Notamacropus eugenii: one gene and its partners. The protein of the gene in region 3 binds, or shares a complex with, the protein of the main gene of each other region. Links are inferred from orthologs where the notes say so. Each region holds a gene or a part of one and is shown on either strand. Other genes may lie near its edges.

The links.
Region 1: the proteins of KLHL12 (region 3) and PLEKHA4 are in contact, whole or in part, in a crystal structure (PDB 8OIO), measured with the Homo sapiens proteins. The link is inferred for Notamacropus eugenii from reciprocal best matches to the Homo sapiens genes KLHL12 and PLEKHA4. Residues at the interface, in NP_067646.1 of Homo sapiens: Phe289, Arg320, Glu417, Tyr434, Ile439, Phe481, His486, Cys511, Tyr512, Tyr528, Leu533, Cys558; in NP_065955.2 of Homo sapiens: Pro177, Gly178, Gly179, Pro180.
Region 2: the proteins of KLHL12 (region 3) and PEF1 are in contact, whole or in part, in a crystal structure (PDB 8RBH), measured with the Homo sapiens proteins. The link is inferred for Notamacropus eugenii from reciprocal best matches to the Homo sapiens genes KLHL12 and PEF1. Residues at the interface, in NP_067646.1 of Homo sapiens: Phe289, Gln293, Arg320, Tyr321, Leu371, Glu417, Tyr434, Ile439, Phe481, His486, Cys511, Tyr512, Tyr528, Leu533, Cys558; in NP_036524.1 of Homo sapiens: Gly15, Gln16, Ala17, Pro18, Gly19, Ala20, Pro21, Pro22.

The regions. Positions count from the first base shown.
Region 1 is NC_092876.1:12,631,706-12,638,918, reverse strand, and holds the start of PLEKHA4 (pleckstrin homology domain-containing family A member 4), read right to left. Parts: upstream 3,035-7,213; 5' UTR 2,914-3,034; intron 2,458-2,913; 5' UTR 2,446-2,457; coding exon 2,365-2,445; intron 1,706-2,364; coding exon 1,601-1,705; intron 1,091-1,600; coding exon 1,018-1,090; intron 940-1,017; coding exon 839-939; intron 486-838; coding exon 376-485; intron 1-375. Other genes in the region: PPP1R15A (protein phosphatase 1 regulatory subunit 15A), read left to right, coding at 4,977-5,045. UniProt on the Homo sapiens protein: Binds specifically to phosphatidylinositol 3-phosphate (PtdIns3P), but not to other phosphoinositides.
Region 2 is NC_092876.1:78,258,313-78,265,462, forward strand, and holds the start of PEF1 (peflin), read left to right. Parts: upstream 1-4,089; 5' UTR 4,090-4,965; coding exon 4,966-4,989; intron 4,990-7,150. UniProt on the Homo sapiens protein: Calcium-binding protein that acts as an adapter that bridges unrelated proteins or stabilizes weak protein-protein complexes in response to calcium.
Region 3 is NC_092873.1:437,284,919-437,292,418, reverse strand, and holds the start of KLHL12 (kelch-like protein 12), read right to left. Parts: upstream 3,012-7,500; 5' UTR 2,881-3,011; intron 2,479-2,880; exon of another isoform or gene 2,027-2,478; intron 1,009-2,026; exon of another isoform or gene 919-1,008; intron 1-918. UniProt on the Homo sapiens protein: Substrate-specific adapter of a BCR (BTB-CUL3-RBX1) E3 ubiquitin ligase complex that acts as a negative regulator of Wnt signaling pathway and ER-Golgi transport.

The DNA of each region.
Region 1 (7,213 bases), on a different chromosome or scaffold from region 3:
GTTTTAGCTCTACATCTCTGATTCTTGGATTCTTGGGCAGGGGGCAGCTAGATTGTGCCATAGTGCACAGAGCACTGGGCATGGGATCAGGAAGCCCTGAGCTCAAATGCGACTTCATACACTTACATACAGTAGCTGTGTGACCCTGGGCAAGTCACTTCACCCAGTTTGCCTCAGTTTCTTCAACTGTAAAATGAGCTGGAGAAGGAAATGGCAAGAAAACCCCAGATGGGGTCAGGAAGAGTCAGACAGGGCTCAACAGCAACAACCAGCCTTAGACTGCTCCCCATTTTCCAGATGAGGAAGCTGGGGTGCAGTCAGGGACAGCCATAGAGGGGCTGGGATTCAAGTGGCGATAATCCTGCCCACACTTACTAGTCATCCCCTTCAGCTCGGGTGGCACGACCCAGAGCCCGCAGCCACCCGCGAAGGTCCTCCACCGTATCAGCGGCCAATACGTACGTTCTCATCCCAGGGTGCTCAGCCTGGGAAGGGAGGTGAGAAGGAGGGGGACATAAAGCTCAGGGAAGGAATTTTTGGGCCTGAAGGAGAAGGGCTGGCTGCCAGTTCTTGAGGGGGGGGGGGGGGTCAGTAAATAAGCATTGATCTGGTTCTCTTTGCCAGACCGATGTACTGGGTCCTGGGGCTGTGTGCTGACAGTCCCTGCTCTTAAGCAGCTTATGTGTGTGTAGGGGGGAGACATGCACAGAGCCAGCAGATTACAGAGAATAGAAGGTAAGGGGGAGGGGCAGGGAGGCACTAGCAGCTGGAGCAGTGGATACCAGGGTCCCCGAGGGGTTCTAGGGGGGAGAGGACACCAGGATCATCTCTAACTCACAGTGAAAGTGTAGCGGCGCCCCCGGGGGGCCCCAGGGCCATCTGGACGGACACTGTAGCTGGGGAGAGGGACACTGCCCAGGACACTCTCCTCCCGGCTGTCTGCAAGGGAGTCAAGGATCAGCGGTCACTGGGGAAGGTTTCTCTATCCCCATTCCAACCCATCCTTTGGACACTGACCCTTGTAATAGAAGAGGCAGTGGCCAGACAGGACAAACCAGCGCCGCTTCCAGAGCCGGAGGCCAGAGCTGTCCTGGGAGAGAGACCAGAGACACCTGAGTGCCCTGAGACAGGTGAAACCTCAGGAGGATGAGGTGGGAGTACAGTGAGACAGGCAGAGAGGAACCTGGGGATAGGGAGACAGAGGGACAGGGGGATGGGGAGACAGAAAGACATGGAGGGGACGGAGATGAGAGACAGTGAGACAAGAAGACACAGAGACACAGAGACAGGGACGGAGGACCAGGGCGAACAGTCATATTTTTAGAACCTGAGACCAGAGCTGTTTTGACAAATATTGGCAAGACCTGAGCATGTACCAGGAAATGGAGATGAGGTGAAGGGAAATAGAGTCGTGGAGGGTCACAGAGACAGAGCCAGCAAGACAGCAAAGATTGGGGGCAACCTCGGCAGCAAAGAGTGACAGTCACGGAGCAAGTGAAAGCTGGGGTCCCTCTGCAGCCAGTAACAGGGCATGCAACACAGTGCAGAGCCTAGGGAGGTGACAGACGAGGGACAGGCAGGGGCCCTAGCCCCACAGTACCTGCTTATGCAGCCAGCCTCGAATGTCCACAGGCAGGTTGGGGTCTCTGCGGAGGGAGCTTCCCCTTTTCCCAAAGGCATGGATCCGGCTGACTGCCCGAGGGGGCTAGAGGAGAGAGAGGCAGGAAAGGGACTGCCTGGGGGCACAGGGAAACCTCAGACCTGGAAGGGCTCCACTGTAGGGGAGGGAGGCACTTCTCATTCTCTTCCCTTCCCCTCATTGCGGCGGCGGGAGGGGGGGGGGGGGCGTGGTCCAGGACCGAGTGACTGCTCTACTGGCAGGGCAGGCTTAGGGTCCTGGCCAAGAGGAGTTGTAGGTGGGCAGAAACCCCAGATCTCATTCCATTCATTCAGTCCAATTCAAGGAGGCTTTATTAAAAGTGGCAGGCACCGTACTGGGAATAGAGACAGGCCTAAGGTAGTACTTGTCCTCAGGAAGCTCACCTCCTCTTTTAGTCCTGCTCCCCAGGAGCAGATGCCCTAAACTATTAGGATTTCAGAGGAAGCACGGGCAGAGCGACTCAAAGAGTAAGGAAAGAATATGAAAAGGAGGAATTGGGGGCTCTTTTCAAGAGCTGGGCACCCCCAGCACCTGGCTTGGGAAGGAATTGGGCCAGGGGACAGTCTCACACTCTGAGGTATTGGGTGTTTTCATGGCCCAGCTGCTGGTCCCTCTCCAGACCTTGGGAGCCCAAACCTTGACACAGGGAGAGGGAGGTCCACCAGCCCACCTTCTCCCCACCCCACCTCAGCCACCTGCATCACCTTGGTGCTGAGGCTGATGGAGGAGACAGTGGAGACACTGCTGGCCATGCTGAGGCTGCTCCGGGGCCTGCTTTCCTCCATGTTGGGGAGCCACTTGAAGAAGAAGAAGAAGATTGAGAGAGGTTCAGGAGGAGGAGGAGCCCAGGCAGGGTCAGTGACCCCAGCAGTGGGGAGGATAAGGAGAAAAGCCTCCTTGTGTGAGATATACAGAGTAGGGGGAGAGTTGGGGGCTGGGGGAGGCCTTGGCCCCCTGCCACATACCAAGAGGCAGTGCCAGGGGGTGGGCGGCTACAGCAGCTGCTAGGGGGGAAGCCAGAGAAAAGAGGCCTCTTTATGTCCAGACCACCCCCCCTTCAGGCCAAGAATCTGCCCCTCCCTTCATGCTTAGAGATCCACATCGCCTTCCCACCCCTTAGTCTGGCTGCCCTTGTAACTCCATCCTTCTTCAACCCCCAGTCCTGATCAAACATACCAACCCCCCCCCTCCCCAATTGTAGGAAGGAACCCAAGCATACCTGTGTCCCCCCTCCCCCAGGTCTAGAAACCTACCAGGCCCTCCAGATGAAGGAAGTGGGATCAGCACAGATCCAAGAGCACAGCTGGGTGTTCCTTCTTCAGTTCCCAAGTGCTCTCACTCCCAAGTGGCTCACCCTTCCTCAGCCTCTCTCTGCCTCCTGTCTCTTTCCTTTTATTTGTCTCTCACTGTCTCTCTGAATTTCTTTCGCTCTCTCTGTTTCTGTCACTCCCTGTGTGCCTCTCTGTGCATCTGTCTCTTCTCTCTCTGTCTCTTCCTGTTTTTCTTTCTCTGTCACTTGCTGGCTTTTCTTCTCCTTGTTTCTCTATTCTCCATCCACTTATCTCCTCCTCTCTCTCTCTCTCTCTCTGTCTCTCTCTGTCTCCCTCTCTTTCTCTGTCTCTCTCTCCCTGTCTGTCTCTCTCTGTTTCTGTCTCTCTCTCTCTTTGTCTGTCTGTCTCTCTCTCCCTGTCTCTCTGTCTCTCTCTGTTTCTGTCTCTCTCTCTTTGTCTGTCTGTTTCTCTCTGTCTCTCTCTGTTTCTGTCTCTCTTTCTTTGTCTGTCTGTCTCTCTCTTTGTCTGTCTGTCTCTCTCTCCCTGTCCCTCTGTTTCTCTCTCTCTCTCTTTGTCTGTCTGTTTCTCTCTGTTTCTGTCTCTCTCTCTCTCTTTGTCTGTCTGTCTCTCTCTCCCTGTCTCTCTGTCTCTCTCTGTTTCTGTCTCTCTCTCTTTGTCTGTCTGTTTCTCTCTGTTTCTGTCTCTCTTTCTTTGTCTGTCTGTCTGTCTCTCTCTTTGTCTGTCTCTCTCTCCCTGTCTCTCTGTTTCTCTCTCTCTCTCTTTGTCTGTCTGTTTCTCTCTGTTTCTGTCTCTCTTTCTTTGTCTGTCTGTCTCTCTCTCTCTCTGTCTGTCTGTCTCTCTCTCCCTCTCTCTCTCTCTCTTTCTCTCCCCCCCCTTCCCCTACTATTCCTCCTCTGTCTTTCTATGCCTCCCTCTCTCTCAGTCCCGGGTTCAGTCTCTCTCTCTCTCTCTAACTCTGGATTTCGGGATCAGCCTGCCCATACCTTCCTGTCTCCCTCGGTCTCTCTCCGCTCTCTGGACCTCTCCCTTTCTCTACAGTAGGTCCGTGTCTCTCCCTTGTTCCTCAACTCCTCCACCCACGCTCTTCCCTCCCTCTGGCCGGCCCCTCCCCTCCCTTGACCCCGAGGCTCCTCGGCCCCCACAGCTGTCTGGGTGGGACTCAAGGGGCTCCGCACAAGTCTCCTGGGTCCCCGAGAGTAAAAGGACTGGGGAGTCAGACCCCAGGCTGGCTGAAAGGAAGCATGCAGCCCGGCTGGCACGGGCAGGGGGGCTGGGGGCGGGGTGCAGGAGAAGGCTTGACCAGAAGGTTGCCCTGGACAGGCTGTCCTCCAGGATTGTTGACTGACTGACTGACCGACTCGGGGAGGAGGTTATACAGGTTCAGCCAGAAGGCTGGGCGCTGTGCTGTGACATTAATGGGATCCGAGGGATTAGGAGGGGAACCCGCCTGCTCAGGCCCCCCCGCCCCAGGTGCGGCAGGGACGGCAGGCTCATCCCCTACGAGGGTGACAAGGGGCTAGGCGACCGAGCCGCGATCCAGAGGATGGCCGGGCGGGGCGGGGCTGCTCCGGACTGCTCTCGGAGGTTCCAGAGCCCTGAATCACCTCCTGGGCGCGGGATCCCCGGAGCACGGGACCATGACGTCATCGAGCTCCCTGATCGCCCCGCCCCTCCTATGACGTCAGCCCTAGGGGATCCGAGCGATTCCACTTAAGGAAACTCCGCTCGGGAGGGAGTGGCAGCCTTGCGTTCTTCGTTTTCCCCCGCGCCCCCCCTTGCCTGACGTTGGTAAACTCCGCTCCGTGACGTCAGCGCGTCGTATATAAGGACCCGAGGAGCCGTGTTTATTTCAGAGCCAACCTGACCGGAGAAGCAGGAGTACACAGAGAGACCGCGGAGCTCTGGCCGGACATCGAGCGCAGACGCCGAGCCTTTGGGGTCCCCGACAACATGAGCCCTAGCCCCAGCCCGCCGTGGACACCGCCGTGCCCGTGGACTCCTCCGCCGTGCCCGTGGACACCACCATGCCTGTGGACACCGCCATGCCCGTGCACGCCCTCGCTGCCCCCAGGATGACGCGCAGCCCGGACCCTGTGAGTCCCGTGGGGACGGGACGGACCGGAAAGGGAGCCGGGGCCCCGAGGGGCGGGACGGGAGGGGGCGCCTGGACCCCGAGGGGGCGGAACGGACCGGAAAGGGAGCCGGGGCCCCGAGGGGCGGGACGGGAGGGGGCGCCTGGACCCCGAGGGGGCGGGACGGGAGGGGGCGCCTGGACCCCGAGGGGGCGGGACGGGAGGGGGCGCCTGGACCCCGAGGGGGCGGGACGGACCGGAAAGGGAGCCGGGGCCCCGAGGGGCGGGGACGGGAGGGGGCGCCTGGACCCCGAGGGGGCGGGACGGGAGGGGGCGCCTGGACCCCGAGGGGGCGGGACGGGAGGGGGCGCCTGGACCCCGAGGGGGCGGGACGGACCGGAAAGGGAGCCGGGGCCCCGAGGGGCGGGACGGGAGGGGGCGCCTGGACCCCGAGGGGGCGGGACGGGAGGGGGCGCCTGGACCCCGAGGGGGCGGGACGGGAGGGGGCGCCTGGACCCCGAGGGGGCGGGACGGGAGGGGGCGCCTGGACCCCGAGGGGGCGGGACGGACCGGAAAGGGAGCCGGGGCCCCGAGGGGCGGGACGGGAGGGGGCGCCTGGACCCCGAGGGGGCGGGACGGGAGGGGGCGCCTGGACCCCGAGGGGGCGGGACGGACCGGAAAGGGAGCCGGGGCCCCGAGGGGCGGGACGGGAGGGGGCGCCTGGACCCCGAGGGGGCGGGACGGGAGGGGGCGCCTGGACCCCGAGGGGGCGGGACGGACCGGAAAGGGAGCCGGGGCCCCGAGGGGCGGGACGGGAGGGGGCGCCTGGACCCCGAGGGGGCGGGACGGGAGGGGGCGCCTGGACCCCGAGGGGAGGGACGGGAGGGGGCGCCTGGACCCCGAGGGGGCGGGACGGGAGGGGGCGCCTGGACCCTGAGGGGAGGGACGGGAGGGGGCGCCTGGACCCCGAGGGGGCGGGACGGACCGGAAAGGGAGCCGGGGCCCCGAGGGGACGGGACGGACCGGAAAGGGAGCCGGGGCCCCGAGGGGCGGGACGGGAGGGGGCGCCTGGACCCCGAGGGGAGGGACGGGAGGGGGCGCCTGGACCCCGAGGGGGCGGGACGGACCGGAAAGGGAGCCGGGGCCCCGAGGGGCGGGACGGGAGGGGGCGCCTGGACCCCGAGGGGAGGGACGGGAGGGGGCGCCTGGACCCCGAGGGGGCGGGACGGACCGGAAAGGGAGCCGGGGCCCCGAGGGGCGGGACGGGAGGGGGCGCCTGGACCCCGAGGGGAGGGACGGGAGGGGGCGCCTGGACCCCGAGGGGAGGGACAAGACTCCTCAGGGGACGGTATAGTGCAGGAAAGGGGTTTGGGACCTCTGAGGGGACAGGACTGGACGGGGGCAGGGGCATTAGGGGATAGGGAGCTGGGAACTTCAGAACGGAGAGGGAACGGGGGGCTCTCTGAGAAGATGAGGACCAGAAGGGTCCAGGGGGCCCTTGGATCCTCAAGGTGAGCAAGGAGAACTCCCAGCAGGGAGGGCAGGCAGGAAGGAAAAGGTTAAATATTATTAATGTGTGCTGGATGCCAGGTACTGTCCTAAGTGCTCTATAGGTACGGTCACAATTCTGAGAAGTGCTCTTATTCTCATTTTACAGCAAACAGAGGTTATGTGACTTGTCCAAAGTCTCACAGCCAGTAGGCTGCTGGAGGCTGGATTTAAACCTGGGTCTTCCTGACTGCAGCCGCTGAGCCTCCACTGCCTTGTAAGTGGTGCTTGAGGCTCTCAGAGGCTAGAAACGCCCGGGTAAAGCACACAGGTCTAGGTGAGGTAGTTGGTGCTTGTTCCTCGTTCTTGAAGAGGACCATGACATCAGGGAGGTGATGCCATGACATGCAAGTGAACTGATTTAAGTCATTAGGGTGACGGAGATGGCCCAGGATGTGGTAGGAAACCTTGGTCTTTTGCAAGTCTCAGTTTGACTGAGGCAACATCCATCTAGTGATGAGGGCTAGGTAAACAAAAATGAGACAAAGAACCTAGGCCAAAAAGAAAAAAATCGAAGTAGAAGGAGAAGACCCTCAGAGTTTCTGGCCAAAATAGAAACAATTCCTATTTTTACATTCACTCTGAGTCAATCAGAGTTCAAACAATGACTAAGTGGGGTTTGGCTTGGAACCTACTGTTGG
Region 2 (7,150 bases), on a different chromosome or scaffold from region 3:
TGAAGACAAACCACTGTGAGAGATATATTCAAGGGAAAGGGAGAGAAAAACTGGGTACCAGTTTTATTGGATGCATAGAAGGTTGGGCTGGAGAAACTCTACTAGGAAGCTTGGAATCCATTTTCTTTGAGGGTTAATAGAGAATTCCTTTCATAGCAGGAAGCCTCACTTGAATGAGTCAAGTTATCACGAGTCTGCGATAATTATCCTATAGTCTAAATTTGAAGTTTTTTTGACAGTCCATCTCACTGGTGTTTGAAATTGCTGCATCATCATGGGTCACATAGGACCTTGGGAAAAATTTGGGTTTACCTTCTTTTGTTAATGTGGTCAGTGGGAAATCAGTTTAAAACCATTCTCAAAATTGCTCATCGGTTATTCTGGTTTTGGGCAGATGGCATAGGAGTTGAACCCCAAGAAAGGAGATGGTCTCTCTGGAAGCCTCACTTCCCTCCTGGGGCATTCTCTTCTGTTTTGTGTCTACCTTGAGGGGTTCTTTCATCCCATCCAAAACTGCAAGGAAGCCACACATGTTTGTCCATGTTGTAAGGTCTCCAGAGGTGGTAGGATCCTTAAGTGAGGAAACTGGAACATGAACCAGCTGCTCTGTAAAATGGAGAAATGGCAGCCAACTGCATAAAGAGAAAGGGACTAAATTTGGGGTCCTGTAAAATTCAAATCCTCTACTAACAATTTCCTCCATCATTGAAAACTAGCCTTAAAACCGGACTTTCGTTTATTGTCTGTTGACTCCTTGCATGTCTGTGAGATTTACTTGTTTTGGTTGTTCATTAATGGTTTCTGGGGAGGAAGAAATAGTTTATAAATTTACTTTCCATGCCCTCCCATAATGGAAGGGAAATGTTGCAAAACTGCCAAGGTGTGGTATTCTTTTGTCTATTGGCTCTTTGTTCCACCCTCCTTTCCACAGCCTCCAAGTAGCAGTTAAAAGTCTTGATCTGGTTCAAGTCAGAATGAATCAATTCCCTGATATCTTTGTGGGTAACAGGATTCCTTCTTGGTAAGTAATCCTGGAACCAGAAGCTGAGCCAGAGAGTTTTATTAGGAGAGGGAGGCGGTGGGACCAGTCTGTCTCCAAGAGTAGTAATATTTTCCAGAGGGTGAACCTCCCATTACCAAGTTATGCTTTAACTTTAGAGTTAGAGGGGTCAACTCTGGAACTTTTATTAGGCCAGTAAAGCATTCCAAAGAGCCCTCTGCTCAAGCCCTTCCCTTTAGCTACCACCCACATCTCACCATCCCTCCCTGGTTGAGTCTTCACAAAGGATTAGATAGTTTCTCCTTCTGTAAGAAATTCTTTGGTCCTCCTGTTTCAGCCCTCTCAAAAATAAACAACTGAAGCAGAACAAAGAGTCCTCCATGCTCCAAGAATCATTGAACAGCTGTGTGGGGGCCTGGGCTCTGACCTTCTGCCTGAAAGATGTCTCAGGTCCCTCCCTACTCACCCCCCCCCCCAGTCTAAGTCTTTGAGTCAAGACAGTCCTCCAACAGGGAACCCACAGGACTATAAACTGGAAGAGATCAGAGAGAAATATCTGCTCCAACACCCTACATCTTATAGAGGTGGAAATTGTCAGCTGGGTGTAGCCCACCACTTAGTTCTCTATTTTGTGAGAATATCCCAGAGATTAATAGGCTTATTTTCTACATGTTAAGAAAGGAAGAAACTTGCCCCAGGATCATATAGCAAGTAAATTTGAAGAGTGAGGCCTAGAACCTGAGGTTACTGGCTTCCACCTAGTTAAAAAGAAGTAGTCAAGAAGCTGTACCTCATCTCCACGGGTGCCTACCCTGAACCCCCGGTATTGTCCAGTTGAAGAAATAGACCCAGAAAGGGGAGTTATTTAGGAACAAAAGCAGGGCCACAATTCAGGATTCGGGACTCTTTGATAAGTTAAAATTGGAAGGGACCTTACAGATCATTCCATTCCATTCAACAGATACTCATTATGCACCCTGCAAAGCTCTTCGAGGGCTAAGACAGGGTCCCTGTCCCCCTGAAGATCAGACTAGGAGTGAGATATGGCAAATAACTCTATTATACAATAAGTGGATTAGAGAGATGTGGACAAAGGGCTGTGTTCAAAAAGGGGACTGAGACACTATGAAGGAGCGGCAGCATCTGTGTTGGGCTTTAAAGGATGGGTAGGAATTCAACAGAAGAAATGGAAGGAATTTGGGGAATGTCCATTGTTTCCTATAAATAACATGAGTACCAGAGCTAGTGGAGCTGGGGAGAGGTGTGAGCTGCCTTAGCTCAGGATGGAGTTCAGGAGGCCAAGAGAGCAGTCCAGTCTGGCTGGAGCATGCAAGGCCCCGAGGGGGATCATGTGAGATAATGCTGGAAGATCATCTCCTGTAACCCGCTCAAGTTTCCAGAAGAGGAAACTGAGCTCCCAACGGGACAATTGACATAGAAGTCCTAGACAAGCCCTCTCACTGCTCAAGAGCCAGAGCCCTTGGGAAGGAAAAGAACAGGAGAAGAATGGAAAGTGACTGGCCTCTCAGCAGCCTTGTGAGCTTCCCCTCTTTTACATCTGTAAAGTGAGGGGACCAAACTTGAGTCCTTCCAACTAACAGTTCACAAATATAAGTCCAGGCAAAGAGAATCTAGCTAGGCAAATTGACCTGAGTCAGAGACTCAGCCCTGGACTTGGAATCAGAGGACCAGGAACAGATTCCTGGCTCTGTGGTTTACTGCTGCATGATCCTGAGCAAGTCACTTAATATCTGCCTCAGTTTCCCCACTTGTAAAATAAGGATTATAATAACACCTACCTCTCAGGATTAATGTGAGGATCAAATGAGATATTTGTAAAGAACCTAGATCAGTTCCTGGCACATTTTTGTTATTGTTGTTACTGCACTTTTCTTGAATAGATGCTGGAATGGTTTGCCATTTCCTTCTTCAATGTGCCCCCATTTTATAGATGACAACTGAGGCAAATAGGGTTTAAGAGACTTACACAGAGTTATATAACTAGCAAGTGTCTGAGGCTGGATTTGAACTCGGATCTTCCTGACTCCAGCCTGGTGCTCTATCCACTGAACCATCTAGCTGACCTTCCTGGCACATAGTAAATGTTTAATAAATGATTGTCCCCTTCCCATTCCACTGCCTAAATAGGCAATGACTTATGCTACTTGAACCCCATGGGCTTCAGTTTCCTTATGTGGAGTCACCAACTTCAATCCTTTGGGTAAGATAGTAGACCACAGAAATTTAGCGCCCACCCTACTGCTACCACTCCTCAAGACTCTTGGGCATTACCATGCACCATTGCTGCACCCTAAGGAACTGTCTCCTTTCCAACTACCCTGGGGTGGAAATCTTCTGAAAATGTTTTTTTCCATTCATTCTTATGAGTACACACAAGGTAAATACAAGTTAACGAGACTGGGGGCATAAGAGGAGGGTTTCATGGAGAAGGTGGTGTTTGAGCTGAGAAACAAGGGATTCTAAGGAGCAGAGGTGAAGAGGAAGTAAGTCTATCCCATGCATGAGGGATGGCCTGGGCAATAGTATGGAGGTGGGAAAGTAGTGTCTTGTGTGAGGAAGAGCAAGGTGGCTGGGGCCCTGAGAGCAGGGAAGTGAGTAAATAACTCATAATAAGGCTGGACAGGCAGGTCAGGGCCAGTTTCTCCAGGGCTTTAAATGCCAAACAAAGACGTGGATATCTGACCCCAAAGTCCATAGGAAACCACTGGCATTTACTGCACAAGGGAGTGAAACACGTTAGCAGCCCAGGATTAGACTGCTGGGACTTGAGGCAGGAAGGTGAACTAGGGGCTACTAGCAGGCCAGGTGAGAGAGGTGGGGCAGCGGACTCATCTTCATGAGTTCAAATCCCGTCTCAGACACTTGTTAGCTGCAGGACCCTGAGCAAGTGGCTAACTCTGCCTCAGTTTCCTTATCTGTAAAATGAGCTAGAGATGGAAATGGCAAAGTTGGATACAACTGAACCACAAAAGGTGAAAGATGAGGAGGGTCTGAACGATGAGTGGCCGCGGGAGGAAAAAGGAGACAATGCGAACTGGGAAGTGTGAAGTCAGGGAATTACCGGGTTTTTATTTGGTATATGAATGAATGAATGAACAAGTGAGTGAATGAACGAGTGAGTGAATGAATGAGTGAGTGAAAGAATGAGTGAATGAATGAGTGAGTGAATGAATGAATGAGTGAATGAGTGAGTGAACGAGTGAGTGAATGAACAAGTGAGTGAACGAATGAGTGAATGAATGAGTGAGTGAACGAGTGAGTGAATGAACGAGTGAGTGAACGAGTGAGTGAATGAACGAATGAGTGAACGAGTGAGTGAATGAACGAGTGAGTGAACGAGTGAGTGAGTGAACGAGTGAGTGAATGAACGAGTGAGTGAACGAGTGAGTGAATGACTGAGTGAATGAACGAGTGAGTGAGTGAATGAACGAGTGAGCATCCGTGCCATCAGCCTCAGAACGTCATCCCCAGCTTTGCTCGCCAGGCTTCCCTGGCGCCTACACCCCCGTCCTGCAGGGGGCGCTGCCACCCAGACAACCCGAGCCCCGCCCCTCCGAGAACGGCTCGCCAGGATGTGACGTTAAAGGAGCACTGCAAGTCAGGCCCCGCTACTCCATCGGCCTGGTCCAATATGGCCGCCGCGGCCTCTGTTCGCTGGTGAAGCAAGGCATCTCCGGAGAGCCCGAGGTGCGTCTTTGAAGTGGAGGAGAAAAGAGCCCGAGGGCCTGCAGGCCGGGCTGCCGCCACAGCAGCCGAACGTAGGCCAAAGGGGCACTTCCACCTGGAGCCAGCCGGGGCTGGTGGTAAGCGAGCCTCGCCTCATTACGTCACATCCGCCCAAGGCTCCCACGGATCCCCTCCAATCAGCAGCCGGGCTCGCCTCCGCCTCGCTCTCGTGAGAACGTGCAGGCCGCGCCTCCTCGCGCCGCAACGTCACAGACGCCATGTCTAGCTACCCGTACGGGCAGGTGAGTGACTAAGGGAGCGCTGAACCGATCCGGGCCGGCCCGGGAGGGGTCGGGCCTGGGGGTTGGGCTCCTCCCCGGCTGGGAGGTCTGTCCGGGGCCTCCGCCAGCCAGGGGCAGAGGCCGGGAAGCGGCGGCGGCGGCGGCCGTGCCCCCCTGGCACCTCGGCTGAGGGCGGCTCCCGCCCGAGCCTCCCACGCCCCCCGGGCCACCGTCCTGGGGTGTCCGAGGCCCCGGGTCCCGCCGATGGCCTGTGTTCTAAGGGCCTTTCCAGCTCTGACGCTCTGCGTTCTAGGTGCCTTCCGCCTCTGACAGGTCCTGTCCTAAGGCAGGGATGGGGAACCTTCAGCCTGAAGACCGCGTGTGGCCTGCTAGGTCCTCGGGTGCGGCCGTTTTACAGGACAGATCCACTTATCGAGGGGATCCGTTCTGTGGAGTGCGGGTGCGGTCAGAGGGCCGCCCTTGAGGACCTGGGGACCGTGGGTTAGTAGCAGAACCAAGAGGAGAACCTCTGATGACCGCCCGGGCCAGGGCCGGGCTCTCTCAGCTGCCGGTCGTCATTCCTGTTGGTGTGGAATTGTGTTTCCTCACAGTAGTCCTGTGGGGTGGGTGGTGAGGAGGAGGAGGGTGGAATAGCAAAGGTAGTGGTAATGCCTGACCCTCCTAAAGCTCTCTCGGTCTTCACAATAGCTTTGTCTTTTATTATTGTTCAATATCCTGCGTGTTTTATTTTATGCATTTAAAAACAGCAGGAGGCTCGCTTTGTCTGCCACGACATAGAAAAGATTAAGAATCAATAAGAGAACTGAGACCCCCCAAAGGGAAGCACCCTCAGTCACAGAGCTGTCAAGTAGTGAAGCTGAGCTTCAGATCCAGCATTCCCTGTCCTCTTCTGACTCCCCGTTTTATCTGGTAAGAGTGGCTCCTGCCCATGAGGAGCTTCAGTCTAGGGAAGGCAGGATGTGAACTCAAGAAACAGCAGAGAACAGGACCGTGTGAACATAGTACTTCCCTGGCCACAGACGCAATGCACTGTCATGCATCCTCTCAGCCAGCCCTTCAAACTTCCCTGTTTCTCTGGAGGCCCCGCTGCCCTGCCCAGGTCCATAACTTCAGTCTCCCTTTCTCTTTCTCCATCCTAGTCCTCAGAGCTGACCGTGGTCAAGTCATGTTAATTAGGCCTCCACCCCTCCCACATCCATTGCCTTTCCCGTCACATCTGCTGCCCTAGTTCAGGTCCTTGTGGCCTCTCATCTGGACCGTTCTAATATCTTTCAGGCCAAAATTGATCTCCAAGCTCCTGGTCTCTTGTCCAATCCATTCTTCATACCACTACTGACATCAAGATAATTTTCCTTTTCACCATATCATTCCTTACTCATATACCTTCAGTAGGTCCCCATTACCTCCAGAATTAAATACGGCTCCATTGCTTTCCATCATTATCTCCTGCTGTTCCCTACCACAGATGGGTCCTAGCAAGGTTGGATCTGTTCCAGAGCTCATTCTCCTGTCTCTGTGCATTTAAGCATGATGTGCCGTTGCTGGAATGCCCTCCTCCCTTTGGCCATTAAGGCTCTACTCTGGTGTCGCCTCTTCCATGCATCTTTACCTGCTTCCCCCAGTTAGTCACATTTTCTCTTGCCTTAATTTTCCTTCTGATGGTTGGTTTTTATATAGCGCTTTAAAGTTTGCAAAGCACTTTACACATATGCTTTCCCTTATTCCTCACAACAACCCTGTGAGGTCGATGCTGTTGTGATCCCCATTTTATAGTTAGGGAAACTGAGACAAGCAGAGGTGAAATGACTGGACTGAGGTCACACAGCTGGTATGTGTTCAAGGCCTCCAGACCCATCCGCTCTTCAGCTGTCTTATATAGAGTGTATGTGTGTGGTTGGGGTGCTTCCTCCCCTTCTTTACACACACCCCACACACACACTGCAGGGATGGTATCCTAAATATGTGTTGAATTGCCCAGAGTGGGAAGTTGAAAGAGTTTTCTTATTCTTTTCATTCAACAAAGGGTAAGTGCCTAACATTAAGTACTTGCTGTGTGCTGTAGCCCGAATCATGAGCAAAACCAAGGATAAGTCCTATTTTCAAAGGGGCTTCCTTTTCACTGGGGGAGACATGTCTGGAAATTGGTCCATCCAAGGCAAAA
Region 3 (7,500 bases):
AATACTGCCCTGACTAGTAAAAAAAGGGCTAGAAGGTAAATTCCCAAAATTTAACACAATTCAATTATTAATGAGCTTGCTGTTGATCTCTGGCAAAACCCTAAAAAAAGAATAAGTTGGTAGGCTGAGTAGTAAGAATGGTATCATTAAGAACCAGAACAAGTTAGTTAAAAACAAGTCATGTCAGAATTGATCAGGGTAATAATGTACCTGGTATTTTAGTGTATGATATTATACAATATCTCTTATGGCATTCCTTGTAAATTAAATGGTAAGATTCCAGTTGGTAGGGAGCGTTGGTTGTCAACTTGAAAAAAGGTCCTTAGCACTAGTCTCTTTGAAATTTTTAATCAACGGTCAACAGATTAATTTTTTAAAAGATAGAGATGAAACATTTATCAGATACATAGATGAAGTAAAGCCAAGAGGGAAGTATATGCTGGATGAAAGACCAAAAAATTTTGCAATAGGCTGGAACCAAAATGGGCTATATTAGAGGTAAAGTAATTCAGTTCATAGTGCTGGACTATGAATCAGTTAGTCCTGGGTTCAAATCCTGCCTTTGATATGAGCTGGGTAACCACAAACAGGCCACTTAACCTCTCTGGTCTTCACTTTCCTCATTTGTAAACTGGGAATAACTGAAGCACCTACTTCAATAAGGTACTAGGAAGCTCAAATGAGATTATGTAATGGGGCTTTGCAAACTTCAGAGTGCCAAGGAAACTTCAATTATTATTACTTGCTGCATAATAACTTAGATGTTACCTATATTTTATTGTATTTTTGTTAATTTTATTAGATATTTCCCAATTACATGTAAATCTGATTTCGGCAATGCTGGGGCCAACTCTTTGACACCTTTGCTCTAAGAAAATGATTCTATGACTCCACCTCTTGGTTCCCTTCAAGTCTTACCTAAAATCCCATCTTCAAAAAGACTTTGGGAATTCTCCTTAATGCCAGTGCCTTCTGAGATTATCTCCAAGTTATCCTGTATATCCTTTTATATTCATTTGTTTGCTTGTTTTGTTTGCCATTAGATAGTGGGTTCCTTGAAGGCAGGAAATATTTTTGCCTTTTTTAAAATCCTCAGCAGTTAGTCTAGTACTTGGCACACAGGAAGTATTTAAGTAATAATTGTTGACTAAGGGGTTCTTGGGGCAATGGTTTGAGTAAAACAGTGCAATGTGGTAGAAAGAAGTTTCGCCTGTAAATTAGAAAAACTAGTTCAGACTCTGGTTCTGCTGTTAACTACTTGTATAACTTTGGAAGAGTCTCTTCACCTCTTCAAGTTTTAGTTCTCTCAACTGTGAAATACAAAATTTTGATTAGATGATTTCTACAGCCCCTTGCAAAACTAACCTTTTATGATTCTTTTTCTGAAAGGGCATCTCTGTTACTGGGTATTAATTGACCAAAGTTACAATGCATCAATAAATAATAAGATCATATTGTATTAAAATTTCTCTCTGGATTCAACCCAAGAGCTTAACTGAGGCTCCTGAACACATGGAAACCCACCAACTTGATTTATGGCAAAGTCTATTACCTTCCAGGTTCAATAACAGTTACTCATGGCCATCATTACATAAATAAAAAAATCGTATGGTTTGACAACACAGTTACAATTCATTAAATATGATGACTGGTTAAATTTGAATCAGTCCATTTTTTAAAAACAAATACTCTTTGGGGGAAAGAATGGGGGAGACCAACAATTTGCCCCATTTTCTTCAGTCTAAAGCTTTTCAAATGATCAAGAGAATATGATTGATTAAAGTAAAATTGGGGAGTCTTTGATAGCTTATTCTCAACCACCATTTTTCAATATCAAAGACAATTCTAGGCCACCTCATTAGCAGAAGTATACTTATGACAACTCTTTCATTACTACTTATCTTTTTTTTTTTTAAAAAAATAGGTTAATCAACACCTCATCTGTACAGGGCAGGTGATCACTGTTCCCACTGTACAGATGGGAACATAAATCACCAAAGCAGAAACCATTACAAAATCAAGGGACCTTGAGTTATTGAGTGCTGTCGATTCTCTTCTGTTCGGGGTGTCACTACAAGTGGGGAGGAGGAGCCTGTGCAACCACTCTGAGGGCACAGAAATGTCACATACGAGGCAGCTAGACAGCACAACGGTAAAATACCACTGGACCCAGGTGAGAAAGCCAAGTTTCCATCCAGCCTTACACAAGCACTAACTGTCACTTAACCTGTTTGCCTCAGTTTCCTCAACTGTAAAAGAAAAAAACCACCGAGTGGCTGTGAGGATCAAATGAGACGTTTGTTTAAAAAAAAAAGAGTGCTTAGCGCAGACCCTGGCACACAGTAAGAGGAACATAAATGCTTATTCCTGTCTCTTGCCATCAGAAGGAAAGACAAGTGGAATCAGCTTTGCCAGCTCCCTGTGTCCCGTGAGGGCAAGGCGTTACTTCTGGGGTTCTCGGTTTATCGGCCGTACAATGAGGGGGTCGGACTAATGATCGCTGAAGTGCCTTCCCATTTAAAAACACGTCCGGTTGCGCTACACCCAAAATCAGCGCTCACAGAAGCCACCCCCCCACGTCACGAGCAGACCCCCCTCCCCAGCTGGGTCTGGAAGGGTCGTGGGAACGTGCGGTTCAACATCGGTCCACTTTTCACTTGCGGCAGGATGACAAAAGGCCCTCTTCCCAGCCCCAGAAGGAGGCCGGTCCCGGGAGAAGGGGGCGGCGGCTCCAGGGCGCAGCGGCCGGCAGTCCCGCCCCGTCCTCCCGCGGGCTCCGCGCCTCCGGGTCCCTCCCCGGCCACATGAGGGCGGCGGCGCGCGGACGGGGCGGGGAGAGGGCAGGGGAGGCTCAACTGTGGCTCCTCCAACCCCACTCACCTCAGCACCCCGCCCGACCCAGCCAGGCAGGGCTGGCCCCCCGCCCGAGGGGGTGGGGTGGGGTGCGGGGCCCGCAGGCGGCTCGGTGGGCGCCGAACAGCCGCCGCCGCCGCCTCCCGGGTCCGGAGCCGCCAGAATCGTGGTTATCGTCGTCGCCGCCGCCGTCGTTGTCGCCGCCGCCGTCGCCGCGCGACGTGATGACGCAAGGAACGCGAAGACGGGCCCCCTTCGCCTCCTCCAAGTGCCACGTGACGTAGGGGGGGTCACATGACCCTCCCCGCACCACACTTCCCGATGCCGCTTGGAGCCGGTGGGAAAAGCGGAGGAGGGAATGTGAGACTTTGGCGGAGCTGAACGGGGTTTGGGCGGCACGCTGAAGCCCCTCCTCTACGGCGGCTGGCCGGGCAGGGCCTCCGCTCAGGACCCGCCCGCGGCCGGCTTCCCCGGGCGCGTGGCCAGGCCGCCTCTCAGCGCTTGGAGGAAAGCTGCGGAGCCGTGGCCTCCTTCCAGGCCCATCACTCAGAACGGCGTCTAGGGGCCGGCGGGGCTCGGGGGGCGCCTGCCGGTGTGGGCAGAGTCGACGCTGGGGCCGATTCTTCCCCCTCCACGTTCTCTGCATCACAATGGGGCTGAATCATCCGCGCCCCCGGGCCTCGGGCGGTCCCTCGTCTTTGGGGGCGGGCCGCCTCCTTCCGGGACTGTTCCGTGGAATCCCGAAGCCCCGGGGTCCGGCCCTACGGCCGTAACCTCATCCTGAAAGGCCACTAGGTCCTAGAGGAAGCAAGGCCTTTAGGGCGTGGGGTCCGCCGCGATCTTGCTGGCTTCCGTAGTCACGGGAGATGGGAGCGGGCGGGGCCGGTAAAAGCCTGTACCCCACGGTTTGTGGGAGGGGTACCGCCTGCGAGTCTGACCTCTCCCCTCAGGGACTCTGCAGATCTGCTCTTCCCCCAACTGGCTACTCCCAACGCCCGCCTCCCTGCGTTTGTACAAGTCAGTCTCCATCCCTGGAATACAGTCCACCTCTCTGCCTCACAGAAATCGTCTTCCTTTTAAGGTTCACCTCAGTCTTCCCTGGTTTCTTGCTGTCACTGCTGTGTTTTCTTAGTACAGAGTTTTCATCCCAGTAGAATATAAACTTCATGAGGGTTGGAACTGTTTTCTTCTTTTATCTTTGTATCCTCTGTGCCTAGCACATAATAGCCACATCCGTAATAAATGTCCCTCCAGGACCACCATAAGTCAGTTAACAAACATTCATTATGTGTCTCCTATGCCGGGTAGTGTGTGTGCGCCAAGCCAAGGGGTACAGAATGAGGCACAAAACATTCAATTCCCCCATAATATAAAGTAGTAGCTCATTCTAATGGGGAAGACAACAAATGAATATGTACAAACAAGCTATATACAGGGTAAATAATAACTAAAAGACAGGGCACTAGAATTAAGATAGTTTGGAAAAGGCTTCCTGTAGATGGGATTTTAGTTGAGACACCAATCTTCTTGATTCCTATGTTCTTTGGTGCTGATGTGTTTTTTTTTTTTTTTTATCAGCTCCCATGAGTTTAGTAATCATTTTTGGGTAGATGACTCCTAACCTCTCCTGAACTTGATTTCCAAATTTTAGTTGGCTGCTGGACATCTCCACCTGGTTGTTAGATAGTCACATCAAACTTAAAAAAGTGGAATTCCTATTTCCCCCCAAAAACCCATCCTGCCTCTGAATTTCCCCATGTCTATTGGCACAATCATCTTTTCAGTTACCTAAAGTTCTCAACCTTGAAGTCATCCTTGCCTTTGCCTTTTCCTTCAACCCCATTTCCCTATTCTGTATCCAGTCAGTTGCCAGTCTTGATTCTTAATCCACATCTGCATCCTTATTTTTCCTAAAAATACAGTCTCTAACTTAATTCAGGCCACTATCACCTCTCAGCCCGGACCATAGGACCTATGTTTTAGCCTCCTAATTGGCCCCTTTCAGTCTCTTACCTCCCTAAACTCAACAGATCTGCCCATGTCTTAGCCCTGCCCCAAAGTTTTCAGTGGCTTCCTACAGTCCCTAGAATACAAAATATTCACATGTAAAGCCTTCCACAATCTTGCTTCCTTTCCAGGTCTTTTAAATAATAGTAATAATAGCACTTCTATAGCACCTACTATGTGCCAGGCATTAAGTGCTTTACAAATATTTTATCATTACAACAACCTTGGGAAGTATCTTCATTTTGTAGTTGAGAAAGCTGAGGCAAACAGGTTAAATAACTTGCCCAAGGTCATACAGCTAGTATCTGAGGCCGGATTTAAACTCATGTCTTTCTGACTCACCTAGCTGCTTTCTGATTTTACAATTATAAGTGGCTACAGTCTTCCAAACTGGTCTGACTGTTCCTCACACAGGACATTCCATCATTCTCTGTGCACTCCTCTCCGATATCTTCCTCCTCACTTGTCTCTGAACCCTTAACTTCCTTCAAAGCACAGCCCACATACTAATTATCTCCTAAATAAGCCCTTTCCAGATCCCTCCAGTTGCTAGTATTCTGTTCTCTTGAAATTACTTTACAACCTGATGTTTACCCATCTTGTGTACACAGGCAGTTCCCAGCAGAATTCAAGCTCTTTGGGGGCAAAGGATTTTTCATTTTTTAAAAATTGTATTCTCAGCTGTATGATCTTGTCTTAGATGCTTAGTAAACATTTGTTGAATTTAGTGACTATATGTAGCACTTCTGGCTCACTGAAACAGGTTACTTAATTCATTATTTTATCCATTATTAATATTTTGTTCTAATTGGTTCTTCTAGTGAGTCCCTTTATGTTGAATCATTCATGAAAGTTAAAGGGAATAAACCAGACTTTTGCAGAACCTGTCCATCCTCTAACTTTTCCCTGCCAAGTCACTAATCTCAAATCATATACGTCTCTGGCTAAAAGGCACTTGGATGGGTTTTGGCCAAATCTGGCTGCTGAACTTAGGGAATTTTAAAATATGAAGAACATAGCTCAGCCACATCTTTTTTTCAAGCTTCCCGTTTTTCATAAACAAGAAGCTACTGGTAACTTTTCCAGCTGGCTGTTTGTTAGGCATCTTGAACTTGATGTCCCATAGATCGCTTACTAAACAGTCCAAAACTGCACTCATCTTATTTCTTCTCAAGCTCTCTCTTCCACTAGTACTGCCCAGGGTACCATTCTCCTCCCTGTCACCTGAGCCCATAACCTAATTGTCATCCTTGACTCTATACTGTTATCTTCCCCTTTCCCCCAGCCAGTATTTTGCCAGGTCCTGCCAATTCTGCCTTCGAAATATCTCCATACATGGCCCCTTCACTCCTCTTACACTACCACTGTGCTGGGGTAGTGTCATCACTTCATGCCTAAACTCTTGCCACAGCCTTCTGCTTGGTCTCCCAGCCTCAAGTCTTTCTTTGCTCCTGCCCATCCTCTACTTAGCTGCCAAATTCATCTTCCTAAAGTGAAGGTCTGACTGCCACTCCTCAATTCAAAAAACTCCAGTGTCTTCGCTATTATCTCCAAGATAAAATATAAAATTCTGTTTGGCTTTTAAAGCCCTTCAAAACCATTTATTACCTTATTAATCTTATACTTTACTGTCCTCCAGTGACTTTCTGGCTATTCCTTATATAGGACACCCTGGTCACTAGCTGTTTCCCATGCCTGAAATTCGTTCCCTCCTCATCCCTAGGTCCTGGCTTTCCTTAAGTTTCAATTAAAAGCCCGTTCTCATAGAAGTTTTTCCCAACCTCCCTTAATGCTAGTGCTTTCACTCTGCAGTTATTTCCAATTTAACTTGTATATAGCTTCTTTGCCCATGGTTGTTTGCATGTTGTCTCTCCCGTTAGAATGTGAGCTTCTTGAGAGTAGGGACTTTTTTGCTTCTCTTTGTATCCTTAGCATGTAGCACAGTACAGGGCACATAGAAGGTACTTAATGCCTGTTGACCTGACCTCAAGTGGCACAGAGGTATAAGGAACCTATGAGATCCTAACTCTGTAACATTCAGTGACAGTTTAGGTACATACTAGATCTCTTAAGCTATGGGACATTTTAGACATATTCCTATTTTCTGGCCTGCTTTCTGAAGGTCAAGGCTTATCCCGAGTTTCCTTCACTACCCAATCCTTCCTCTGTTGTTCCTTGGATGCTCAGCATCGTTGGAGAATGTCACAAAATAAGGTTCAAACTTGGATGGTCTTCGTGGCCTTAGATGCCCTGAATGTAATAGACTTCTGCTCTAGTCAGCTACCACCACCTTATTTTCTTCTGCTTCACAGCCAGTCTTGTAGAAACAAGGAAAGGAGAGGGTACCTGATGCCTCTATTTTCTCACTAGCAACTCAGTCCCCCACAGTCTAGCGTCTATCACAGCTGAAAGCTTCTTTGAGGTCACCAAAGCTGATTTTCACTTTTCATCCTCAGATGACTTTTGGGCCTTTAACCAAATGACAAATCCCTTCTTGGAGTCTCGTTTGCCTTTGAAATACCACACTCTTGATTCTCTAGTCCCTGCTTGTCTTTTCTAGATCTTTCTCTTTGCTGAGGTTCTGTCCCTGATCTTCTCTTGCTCTATACTGATTTGATAATCTCATTCACTCCTATGGTT